3 linked regions of the Macaca mulatta genome follow. The protein of the gene in region 3 binds, or shares a complex with, the protein of the main gene of each other region. Links are inferred from orthologs where the notes say so. Each region holds a gene or a part of one and is shown on either strand. Other genes may lie near its edges.

Evidence for each region. The genes of interacting proteins can lie anywhere in the genome.
Region 1: IQCG (region 3) and DRC3 share a complex: the UniProt entries of both Homo sapiens proteins name them as parts of the nexin-dynein regulatory complex. The link is inferred for Macaca mulatta from reciprocal best matches to the Homo sapiens genes DRC9 and DRC3.
Region 2: IQCG (region 3) and DRC12 share a complex: the UniProt entries of both Homo sapiens proteins name them as parts of the nexin-dynein regulatory complex. The link is inferred for Macaca mulatta from reciprocal best matches to the Homo sapiens genes DRC9 and DRC12.

What each region holds. Positions count from the first base shown.
Region 1 is NC_133421.1:19,536,565-19,540,558, reverse strand, and holds the start of DRC3 (dynein regulatory complex subunit 3), read right to left. Parts: upstream 2,804-3,994; 5' UTR 2,596-2,803; intron 1,730-2,595; 5' UTR 1,619-1,729; intron 1-1,618. Other genes in the region: TOM1L2 (TOM1-like protein 2), read left to right, coding at 3,263-3,314. UniProt on the Homo sapiens protein: Component of the nexin-dynein regulatory complex (N-DRC) a key regulator of ciliary/flagellar motility which maintains the alignment and integrity of the distal axoneme and regulates microtubule sliding in motile axonemes.
Region 2 is NC_133419.1:119,883,257-119,887,588, reverse strand, and holds the start of DRC12 (dynein regulatory complex protein 12), read left to right. Parts: upstream 1-1,529; 5' UTR 1,530-1,574; coding exon 1,575-1,787; intron 1,788-2,085; coding exon 2,086-2,158; intron 2,159-2,584; coding exon 2,585-2,659; intron 2,660-3,727; coding exon 3,728-3,847; intron 3,848-4,332. UniProt on the Homo sapiens protein: Component of the nexin-dynein regulatory complex (N-DRC), a key regulator of ciliary/flagellar motility which maintains the alignment and integrity of the distal axoneme and regulates microtubule sliding in motile axonemes.
Region 3 is NC_133407.1:1,021,814-1,025,375, reverse strand, and holds part of IQCG (dynein regulatory complex protein 9), read right to left. Parts: intron 2,466-3,562; coding exon 2,304-2,465; intron 1,135-2,303; coding exon 1,060-1,134; intron 1-1,059. UniProt on the Homo sapiens protein: Component of the nexin-dynein regulatory complex (N-DRC), a key regulator of ciliary/flagellar motility which maintains the alignment and integrity of the distal axoneme and regulates microtubule sliding in motile axonemes.

The sequences.
Region 1 (3,994 bases), on a different chromosome or scaffold from region 3:
TTTGGCTGATATTTTCTGCAAAGTGTTTGGCTTTTTTTTTTGGCCAGGCGCGGTGGCTCACACCTGTAATCCCAGCACTTTGGGAGGCTGAGGTGGGCGGATTACAAGGTCAGGAGATCAAGACCATCCTGGTCAACATGGTGAAACCCTGACTCCACTAAAAATACAAAAATTAGCTGGGTGTGGTGGCGCATGTCTGTAATCCCAGCTACTCGAGAGGCTGAGGCAGGAGAATCGCTTGAACCAGGGAGTTGGAGGTTGCAGTGAGCCGAGAGCGCACACCACTGCACTCCAGCCTGGCGACAGAGTGCGAGACTCCATCTCTCCATCTAAAAAAAAAAAAAAAAAAAAAAAAAAAAAATAGGTGCTATACTTTGGGAAATGACTCTTAATTTTGATTTGATTTCAAAACTTTAACTCACTTATCCCTCTTACTTCATCAGGGCCTTGGTACCTGTGACAGATCAAGTTTGCTTTCAGTCAAGCCCAGCAACTGCTATGCTAGGAAATGTGGGATTGTTATTACATATGCTATTTTATAAGCACATCAGGGCAGCATTTGGATCCTTACTGTGCATCTTTTAGTAACTCACTTCACCTATCTAAGCCTTGGCTTTCCCATCTGTAAAAGGTGGATAATTCCTCCCTCCTGCATTTGTGTGAGATCACGTATTTAGTCCAAACATGGGTAGTGAGGAACTGCTACATGTTGTGAATAAAACAGATGGATTTTTACCCCTGCTTCAGGCATGAATCAAACAATAATACAGCTATTTAATTACAAACCATGACAATTTGTAGGTGTAGGGAACTATGAAATCGTACATTAAGGGCACCTGGCCTGGCCAAGGAAGACAGGGCTGATTTGAAGGACAAGTAGGAAAGAAGGAGGAGATAACTTTGTGGCAAGGCCCTCGAGGTGGGAGAGAACAGACGTGTTGCCCTTTGGCTGAAGTGATGCAAGGTTGGAGAGGTCTATGGGAGTTCTGTTATTATCCTAGAACCCCTGGAAAGCACCTAGGGCTTAATAAGGGCAGCGACATTAGCTGGTCATGGTGGTGCATGCCTGTAGTCCCAGCTACCTGGGAGGCTGAGGCAAAAGAATCGCTTGAAACCGGGAGGTGGAGGTTGCAGTGAGCCGAGATCATGCCACTGCACTCCAGCCTGGGCAATAAGAGCGAAACTCCATCTCAAAAAATAAAAAAAATAAGGGCAGCAATGTGATCAGATCTTAGTTTTTAAGAACTCACTTTAGCAGCAGTACTGAGAATTGCAAAAGTACTGAGGTGAGAGATGACCAGGGTGTTAGCAAGATGTGAATGGGAGAAATTTCTAGAAACTTAACTTCCATGTAGGGCTAATAATCACCAATATCCAGATAAGAAAACAGAAACTAGTTAAAAAGGTTAATTAACATGCCCAACTTCATACACTTAGCATACGGCAGAGTCCATTTTCCTAATCATGACTCAACTGTATCCAGGGTACTGGGGACTATGGTTGCCACAGCTCACAATGTTTCTCACAGTTGTCATGGGTTCAGGGCCAAGGCCCAAACAGTCCTCCTCTATGGGGATCTTAGTAGTTTACCACCCAACCTGGGTCCCCTTTGACTTACCTGATGATAGTGTTGTTGAAGACCAGAGAGGTTGGAGCTGTGGAAAGCAGCAGAGTTTTACACAACTGTCAACGAAGTAGCCTCGTCGCAGAGAACAGATCCAGAATTTTCCTGGGAAACGATAACCTGGGGTCAACAGGATCTGAAAACTATAGTCCCTATTGGCCATGAATTGATAAGAAGAAAATTGGGAAAATTGGTTGGGTGAGATGGCTTACACCTGTAATCCCAGCTCTTTGGGAGGCCGAGGTGGGAAGATTGCTTGAGCTCAGGAGTTCAAGATCAGTCCGGGCAACATGGCAAGACCCCGTCTCCATTTTAAAAAATAAATAAATAAATACTGAACAAAAATTGTTTTTAAAAGAATAAAATCAATCACTTACTGAATGCTTACTGTTTGCTCAGTGCACAAACATTATTTAAGTACATGTAAGCTCCGGAGGCTATAAAAAAGGAAATCCTAATGCCCTTATTTTCCAGCTAGGGAATCTGAGGCTCCAGGGAGGGAAAGGAACTTGTCCAAAGTCATACAATGAATTACTGACAGAGACAGATGCAGAACCTGAGTATCCGTATTCACATCCAAAGCAGTTTATACAGTACCAAGATGAAATCATTTGACAGTTATGAGGTCAGATATGATGGCTAAATTCTGGGAAAAGTTATCAGTGGACAGGGTACCTCTCTTTTATGAAAGGAGGCTGGAAGACGGAACCCCTTAAAAGTCGATTCTAGCCCTGCTCCCTCGGGAAATGCTCCCTTAGTATTTCTTTTTTATTCAAAAGCTTGATAAGCCCAGGACTAAAGGGTCTTGGCTGTGTCAGCACGACTGTAAAGTGGCTGGGAGAGGACCTACGTGCTCATTTTATGAGAGGGGCCGGGACGGCGTTCTCCGAGAAAAGGGTCACAGGAAAGAGTTAAGTCGGGCGCTGTCTGTCCCTGCGAGTCCTCCCTGAGCCTCAGCTCCCAGGTCTCACCTTCTCAAGCGCTGGGAACTCCGCTGGTTCCACGCAGCTGACGCGTCTCCCGGTTGCTGGGGAACCAAGCGCCGCGACTTGGTTGCTAACGGGAAGTCAGGAGGGAGACATCCTGGGTGAAAGTTGACAGATCACGTGACCACATCTCCTGGTGGAGAAACACTCCTAACACCAACCAGCCGTAGAGAAAACAAATGTTTCTCCAATCAGCACTTTCTATGGGCGGGGATATTCCTAGATTCACCTCTGTTCCGTCCTGCTATTTGAGTGATTGACTCGTCTTTTGTCCAATAATAGTAAGAATCCTTTAGATTGACCAATATTCTGAGGAATCAAAATGCGCAACTTCCTCTTCGGGGGGCGGGCCAGGGGAGGTGCCACCACGGCTGACAGAGACTGCGGTGACCTACCTCGCTCCTCGGCCCAATCGGACGCTGCGGGGTGGGTGGGGGCTTTGCTGACGGAGGTGTAACGGCCAATCGGAGGCGGGCTTTGTAGGTGTCCCCCAATAGAGACGCGGTAAGGGGGCGGGGCCAAGGTCCCGGCGCTCGGCGTTCCAGAGGGTGGGGAGGGGGCAAGTGTCAGTCAGGACGGGAGTCCGGCGGGTTACCGCTGAGACCTCGGTGGCAGACAGGGGGCCCGGGCCGCTGCGTGTTGTCCACCCAAGATGGAGTTCCTCCTGGGGAACCCGTTCAGCACCCCGGTGGGGCAGTGCCTCGGTAAGGCCGCGTGTGGGGCGGGAGGCTGGGCGACCGCGGCAGCTGATCCGGGTGGTGAGGACCGCGGGCCTCCTCTGGGCGCCGGTGCCACTTCACGAGCGGGCTGGGCCTCCGCCAGGCGCGGGTGCCACCCCACGAGCGGGCTGGGCATCCTGGTCGTCGGGCCTTCACTGGGCGCCGGTGCCACCTCACGGGCGGGCTGGGCCTCTGCTGGGCGCCCGTGCCACCTCACAGACGGGCTGGGCATCCTGGTCGTCGGGCCTTCGCCGGGCGCCGGTGCAACCTCACGGGCGGACTGAGCCTCCGCCGGGTGCCGGTGCTATCCCACGGGCAGGCAGGGCATCTGTGTCCTGGGGCCTCCTCCCGGGCACTGGTGCCACCTGACAGGCGCCAGTGCCACTCTGCCAGGAGGCACCCCGAGGCCCAACTTGAACTCGGAGATGCCCCAGGCTTCCCTGCCCATCAGGACTCAGCCCTTCCTTTTGCTTCTAGAGGTGGTACCAACTGCTGGTCTGCTTCCCCAATGCCCTTTGGGAGATGCCACTGCATGTGTCTTTATCCAGCCCAGCAAGCTCGCTGCCACTGCCCCAAGGACCTAGTTCTCCCAGACCCTTTGTGGGATGTCACCTTCTTCTCCATCTTTGTCCCTCCTCTTCGGTACCAGCAACCATCAGACTGGG
Region 2 (4,332 bases), on a different chromosome or scaffold from region 3:
AGCGGGGCGTGGTGGTGGATGCCTGCAGTCGCAGCATGAACCCGGGAGGTGGAGCTTGCAGTGAGCCGAGATCGTGCCACTGCACTCCAGCCTGGGCAACAGAGCGAGACTCTGTCTCAAAACAAAAACAAAAACAAAACAAACAAACAAAAAACCTAAAGAAACGGTCTGCAGGTCCCCTAATCCAAAAGGAGAAAAGCCCTGAAGTGTCTGCTGTTTTCACTCTAACCAGTATGGTGCCCAGAGATCCAAGTGGCAGATAGATGGCAAGCCTCAGGATAGCACAGAGCTGCAGGGAGAGTGAAGGCTGCCTGACAAGGGAGGGCCACCCGTCATACTCTCTCCCCCACATTAATTATTCCAGCCACTCCTGGCTCCAGCAGGACACTAAGAAGTATCCCCAAAGGGAGTCACCCCCAATATTGCCCAGTAAATAATTTAAAAGCAAAAATGTGGGAAACTCAGGAGAAGGTCAAACAAGTCCACTAGAGGGAGCCCCAACCAACTCTATGCTGCAGGGAGCCTCACAAAGCAATGTCTCAACACCTGTCTGAAAATCAACCACACAAGGGAATGGGGAAATGTAGCAATAGATTAAGTAACTAGGAGAGAAGATAGCCATGTAAACACCTAGCTAAAACACAGGCTTTTCAAGAGCTACAAAATCAAACATTTAAAGATCAGGAAACTGATGCTGAGCAAAGTCAAATGGCTTGCCTCAGTTTACATATCCACAGTTGGGACTCAAACTCAAATGTCTTGTCTCTAACCTGAGCACTTTCCTGCACACTTGCATCCCTCTAGGTCAGTACCCTAGAGTCCATGGGTCTGCTGTTCCTTTGTGTCTCATTTCTCTGAAGTGGGAAACGCCCTCGACTACCTATTCCTGTACTTATTACCCTCATTCCACAGTGTACTGAAGAGGATCTTCAGTGGTTTGGGGTTTTTGTTTGTTTGTTTGTTTGTTTGTTTGAGACAGGGTCTCCCTCTGTCATCCAGGCTGGAGTGCAGTGGTGCAATCATAGCTCACTGCTGCCTCAACCTCCCAGGCTCAAGTGGTTCTCCTGCTTCAGCCTCCCGAGTAGCTGAGACTAACAGGTGTGCACCACCCTGCCAGGCTAATTTTTTAATTTTTTGTAGAAATGAGGTCTCACTGTGTTGTCCAGGCTGGTCTTGAACTCCTGGCCTCAAGTAATCCTCCTGCCTCAGCTTCTGAAAATGTTGGGATTATAGGCATGAGCCACCGCCCCCAGCTTAGATCTTCAGTTTTAAACCTACTAATGTCATTTTGCTGATGGGACCTCGGGATGTCAATTGTCCAACATGGCTACTGTCAGTCCTTTTCCTCTGTATCAGCACAACATATTATCTCAGATGTGTACATCTGAATTTGGAAGTCTCCAAATTGCAGGCCATGTCTACGTGGCAATGAATCATAACCAATCGGCCTCCAAAGCCCTTTCTTTTCAAACTATACTTAGGGTTTTGGGATAAGGAAAGAACTGACCCTTTGAGACCTTGATATTTTAAGCTTTGTGAGCTGATTTAGCCCATTCCACCTTCCTACGAACTCCATGTTTCCCAGTTGCCTGGACAACATACAGCCTCCCGAAACCCAACCTTCCAGCCCTCAGTCCTGCCCTCAAGAGAAATTTGTCACCAAGGATTGGCTCCCAGGACCCAGGCCCCGCCTCAGGCTCCTCGCTAGTTGGGCCTTCTCTCTGCCACTCCCCACGGGTGGGTCACTCCACAGGGAGCCCCAACACTGGCAGGAGAGGATCCTACAGGTAGGAAGAGGGGGTTGAGGATGATGGGAAGAGGGAGGGGAGCAGGTACAGGGATTTATCTAAAAGAGAGTTGTGAGGAGTGACTTCCGTACAGTCAGCCTGGTTGAGAGAAAAAACTTCACCCTCCCCGTTGACCCCAACCCTGCCTGAGGTTCCAAAGAGACTGTGAACTGACTTTTCTGAAGAGTATGAGATACAAATTTGGAGTAGAACCAGGAGACTCCCCTGAGACTCCTGATTCAGTCAGGAAAGCATCCCTGTGTCCAGACCTAAACATAAGGTCCCCTCCTTCTCCCAGGACAGCAAGGAGATGCCACTTAAAAACAAAGAAAAAGGGAAGAAATCTGGGGCGCAGAAGAAAAAGAACTGGGGTGAGTCATGGTGGGTGGAGGTGCCCCCTGCTTCTCCATGTTCTGGCATGAAGACCACGCAGAGCTCCTCCAGAGAGAATTCAGCCTTCTACATGACAGGATGGAACTCTCTTGACCTTCCTCTTTCGTGTCCTTGAAGTCAGATGCAGGGAGCTGAGGAAGTGGGGAAATGGTCACTCACGCTCTCCTTTAAGCACCATCTAGCTTTGTGCCTTCCTAATATATTTGTCATGTGTATTTTGCATATCTGTTATGTGCTGGTTGGTAAGGACACAGTGCTGACTTCAGTAGACTCTGCCACCATGGATCCCTCATTTAGTGGTCCTCAGGTCTCCTGTGGCAAAAGTGCAGGGTGTGGGGTGAGGACGCAAGGAGAGTGAGGAATGCTGAGATCACGAAGAGCTGAGGCTCTGCCACTTGCCACAGCAGGTGCAGATGTGGAGGCTGAGTCCAGGCACAGGCTGGTGGTGCTGGAGAAGGAGCTGCTCCGAGATCACTTGGGTAAGGAGGGTAGAAGTTGGCATGGGGGTGGGCAACAGGGCAAGTGAAATGGGGCATTTCTGTATCCTGGGGGATTGGAGAGTTGGAGATACAGTGGGGGGCTAAGTTGAACCCTAACCATCCCCTAGTGGAAAAAGACAATGAGAGAGGGGTGGGCAGTGAGAGTTGATAAAGGAAGCTTTTTTTTTTTTTTTAGACAGAATCTTGCTCTATTGCCCAGGCTGGACTGCAGTGGTGTGATCATAGCTCACTGTAATCTCAAACTCCTGGACCCCAACAATCTTCCCACCTCAGCTTCACGAGTAGCTGGTGCACACCACCCTACCTAGCTACTTTATTTATTTATTTATTTTTCTTTTTTAAAATTTATTTTATTTTATTATTTCATTTTATTTTATTTTACTATCTTTTTTTTTTAAGACAGAGTCCTGTGCTCTGTTGCCCAGGCTGGAGTGCAGTGGCGTGATCTTGGCTCACTGCAACCTCTGCCTCCCAGGCTCAAGTGATTCCCCTGCCTCGGCCTCCCAAGTAGCTGGGATTACAGGCACACAGCCACCACGCCCGGCTAATTTTTGTATTCTTATTAGAGACAGGTTTTCACCATGTTGGCCAAGCTGGTCTCGAACTCTTGACCTCATGATCCTCCCACCTTGGCCTCCCAAAGTGCTGGGATTACAGGCATGAGCCACTGCGCCTGGCCCTATTTATTTTTCTTATAGAGACAAGGTCTCACTCTGTTGCCCAGGCAGGTCTCAAACTCCTGGCCTCAAGCAATTCTCCCACCTAAGCCTCCCAAAATATTGGGATTACAGGCATGAGCCACCATGCCGGGCTATCCGGAAAGCTATTTTGTATAGGCAGAACATGGAGAGAGTCTTTACTTCTTAATAATGAGGAGCCTGTGAGACTCTAGGGATAAAAAACAAAAACAACAAAACCCAGAGAGAGAATAAGAGGCTGGACGCCCCGCCACCAGATTTCTAGAGACGGGCAAAATTCATCAAGTTCATGGGGGCTGATTTAGCGGGCCCCAGCCAGTCCTGACAGTGGCTCTGGGACTGCTCACAGCTCTACGGAGGGATGAAGCCCGTCGAGCCAAGGCTTCCGAAGACCAGCTGAAGCAGAGGCTGCAAAGGGTGGAGGCTGAGCTGGAAGGGGCCCGAAGTGAAGGGAAGGCCATATATGCAGGTGTGTGGTCTGTTGAGCAGGTGGGCAGGAGACAGGGGCCTGGAGGAAGACAACCAGCAGGGTCAGATGATGCAAGGAAGGGAAACAAGGAGGGCTTCCAACTGCCAGGCCTGGTCTTGGTCTTCCCCGAACAGTACAAATCAGGCAGGATCCTGCAGGAATCAAAGGCAGGTAGGTTCCTGGGATCCCAGGCAGGGGCCTGCCAGGATGCCTGGTGCCATGTGCTTGATGCTGTGTAGGATACGCATGCAGTCATAGCCATCACCTCAACCATCCTATGGGAGGGGAGAAGGACTAGCATCCCCATCCAAAGCTGGACGGTGGGGGAGGTGGGTTGGGCTTCCTTTCCCTTCCTCAGGTTTTCATGGTCTCTAGCTTCTCAGAATCACAAAAAGAACCAAGAAGACCATGGGCCGGGAGTGGTGGCTCACACCTGTAATCCCAGCACTTTGGGAGGCCGAGGCGGGCGGATCACGAGGTCAGGA
Region 3 (3,562 bases):
AACTGGGAATGTTATTTTTATAACGTAAAAAATTAGTAAATCTTTTTTTTTTTTTTTTTTTAGAGACAGAGTCTCGCTCTGTCACCCAGGCGGGAGTGAGTGGTGTGATCTCGGCTCACTGCAAGCTCTGCCTCCCAGGTTCAAACGATTCTTCTGCCTCAGCCTCCCGAATAGCTGGGATTACAGGGCTGCATCACCACGCCCGGCTAATTTTTGTATTTTTAGTAGAGATGGGGTTTCATCATGTTGACCTGGCTGGTCTAGAACTCCTGACCTCAGGTGATCCGCCGGCCTCGGCCTCTCAAAGTGCTGAGATTACAGGCGTGAGCCACTGCACCTGGCCTTTATTTTTCTTTTTTATTTATTGGCCACTATACTAATGGGAAAACATTTTAATATAGTCATAATTAAAAATAATTAATTTTAAAATTATGTCTTTTTTTTTTTGAGGCGGGGTCTTGCTCTGTTGCCCAGCTGGAGTACAGTGGCACAATCTCAGCTCACTGCAGCCTCTGCCTCCCAGGTTCAAGCAATTCTCCCACCTCAGCTTCCTGAGTAGCTGGGATTACAGGTGCCTGTCACCACGCCTGGCTAATTGTTGTATTTTTAATAGAGAGGGGGTTTCACCATGTTGGCCAGGCGGGTCCCGAACTCCTGACCTCAGGTGATCCACCCGCTTCAGACTCCCAAAGTGCTGAGATTACAGGCGTGAGCCACTGTGCCCGGCCCATAAATTTTTAAGTCATAATTTGACTTACTAAATTTTGTCATAAATTAAGTCATAATTTAAAAATTATGAGTATACAGCAATATAGGAATCAAAAAATTTCTTATCTAAGCTCAATGATAAAAGCGGAAAACAAAATTTTACTTGTACTCTCTCAGATTGTAACTATATAAGATATCTATTCAGATGCACAACCCTGAAATAACATGTGAGCTCAAGCTCATTAGGCTGAAAGAATGATGGCTGGTTTTTCTTCAAAATATTTTTTTTGTTTCCTCAGTATGAGCAGAGTACAAAAAGACTCAAAGCACAGAAAAGTTTTGGTGACCCACCTGCTGCTGCTTTCTAAGGAACATTTCAATGTCCATATGAATCCGGGCCTCTTCTTCGGTTTTCATCCTGAGTTTCTGTAAGAACAATAATCAGACATCAGCACGTCTTCCCTGCAGGGCTGTGAATCAGAAGTTCTCAAGATTAGAGGAGCAGCTTGGTCGGCAGCTCAGGTTTCCTTTACCAGCTGGGATGCCGGGAATTCAGTTTCGTGCAATTCCTGTTCACAAACACCGCAGAGACACATGACGCGGCACTGTCTGGACTGTGTTAGTGTCCCTAACGAAAGGTGCGCAATCCCGTGAATTGAAAAGAGGTGCCCATTGAAGGAGAGAAACGGTGCGCCAAGGGCACAAGGCTGTGGGGCCTAAAAAAGGGAAATTCCAGAGTGCCAGGAAGACTGTTGTCGTGGCCTTAAGCCACGTTAGTCTCAGAGCAAGGAGTCCTCCCACACACAAATTCCATGGTCTAAGGACGTTTGTTCCTTCTTCCGTCTTCCCATCTGCCTGCTGCTCTTTGCGTGTGTGTGTGTGTGTGTGTGTGTGTGTGTGTGAGACAGAGAGAGAGAGAGAGAGAGAAGGGAGTCTCCCTATGTTGCCCAGGCTGGCTTCAAACTCAAGGATCCTCCTGCCTCCCTTCCAATTAGCTGGGACTAGTGCCTGGCTTTGTGTATGTGTGTGCAGTGTGTGTGTGTGTGTGTGTGTGTGTGTGTGTGTGTGTGTGTGCGCGCGCGTGCGCGCGCCATTTCGCATTCCCCTCAAAGAAGATCTACCACTTTCTTCCTCCTGATATTTTTCACCATGACTTCTCATCTCCATAAATTCAGGTTTGAATGAAGTTCACCTCTCAAGATGCTGTATTTCTTACTGGAGGAGTGAAAAGTACTGGCTAGATAAAACAAACAGCAGCAAAATCCTGCCATAACTAAGGATCTTGTTTTGCCCTCTCCCTATAATTAGAGAAATGGCGATTGGTTTGATAAAATAAGAAGTGACCGAGGAGAGAAAGTACAGCCAATTTTCAAAGTCATTATGAGGCAGGAGAAGGAGGCTACAGCCCGTTGGAATCTCCGCTTGCGAACATGTGTATCCTCATTTAGGCTTCCATTTTCAACCTCAAGTGGAGGGGCTGTTGCCGAGAGAGATGGAGGAAATCTTCATCTCCCTCCTTTGTTAGCTGAGACAGGATCAGGAGTGACAGCTCAAATGCCATCTCCTGGGTTCTTCACTAATGTCCCAGGGATTACCTCAATCTCTTCCAGCAAGACTTCCTCTGTTCTGTTACACTTTCTCTGGGTCTGGGCAATCTGCAGCTCAGTATTGGTTTTCATGTAGCGATTCTCCAAGTTGGATTTTGCTTTCATCTCTTGCAGTTGGTCCTTGAGGTTAGCAATATATTCATTCTGACTCTGCAATGGAAAGACCAGGTTTCTAAATTGAAAATACATTCTACCGCCATTCAGTTCAGCCAGTGGCTTAAGGTTCCCTTTTATAAGTGTAAATCAATAAGGAACGGGAACTAGTTTTCCGCTGTCACACAACGGGAAATTTAGCCAACAATCATGCAGAGAGGAAAGTGAGTAATACAGCAGTTCGAAGAATCAGGGCGAATCAGGGCGGAGATTAGTTCCCAGGCACATTACTGGTATGTCCATATTTCCCACACAGATTTCTCATTTTGGTAGGAAGAACACTGGTCAAAATGATGAAAAGAACTGACTTCCCACCCAGGCCTCCAGCTGTGTGAACTTGGCCTAGTCAAATCTCCAACTTTTTTACTTTCTATAAAACACACACACACACACACACACACAACACCCACCCTGACTGAAGTATCTCAGAGATTATTAGGTTTCATTGAGAACACGTGTGAAAACGCTTTCTTTTTGCAGGTCACCAAGTGCTTGGCAATTGCGAGGACTCAATAGTCATTAAGAAAAATATTTATTCAGCACCAGGCTGAATATTTATTCAGCACCAGGCTCTTCCTAGAGCTAGGCTCTAGGAAAATCATGGAGATCTAAACAGACATATTCCCTGCCCTCATAGAGCTTACAGTCTAATAGAAGAGAGGTGGTTAAAAAGAGACAAACACATGTGTAAACTTTCAAAAATTGTGCAAAATGATAGAAAAGGAAAGCTTGACAGGCTGTGGGAGGAAATAACAAGGGAGGAGTCCATTCGACTCTGGAAGGCCTGAGAGGGACTCTCTCGGGAAAGTGATGGTTCATTCGATGTACATTAGACTCTGGAAGGTCTGAGAGGGACTCTTGGGAAAGCGATAGTTCATTCGAGGTACATTAGACTCTGGAAGGCCTGAGAGGAACTCTCTCCAGAAAGTGATGGTTCATTCGATGTACATTAGAGTCTGGAAGGTCTGAGAGGAACTCTCGGGAAAACCATGGTTCATTCGAGGTACATTAGACTCTGGAAGGCCTGAGAGGAACTCTCTCCAGAAAGTGATGGTTCATTCGAGGTACATTAGACTCTGGAAGGTCTGAGAGGG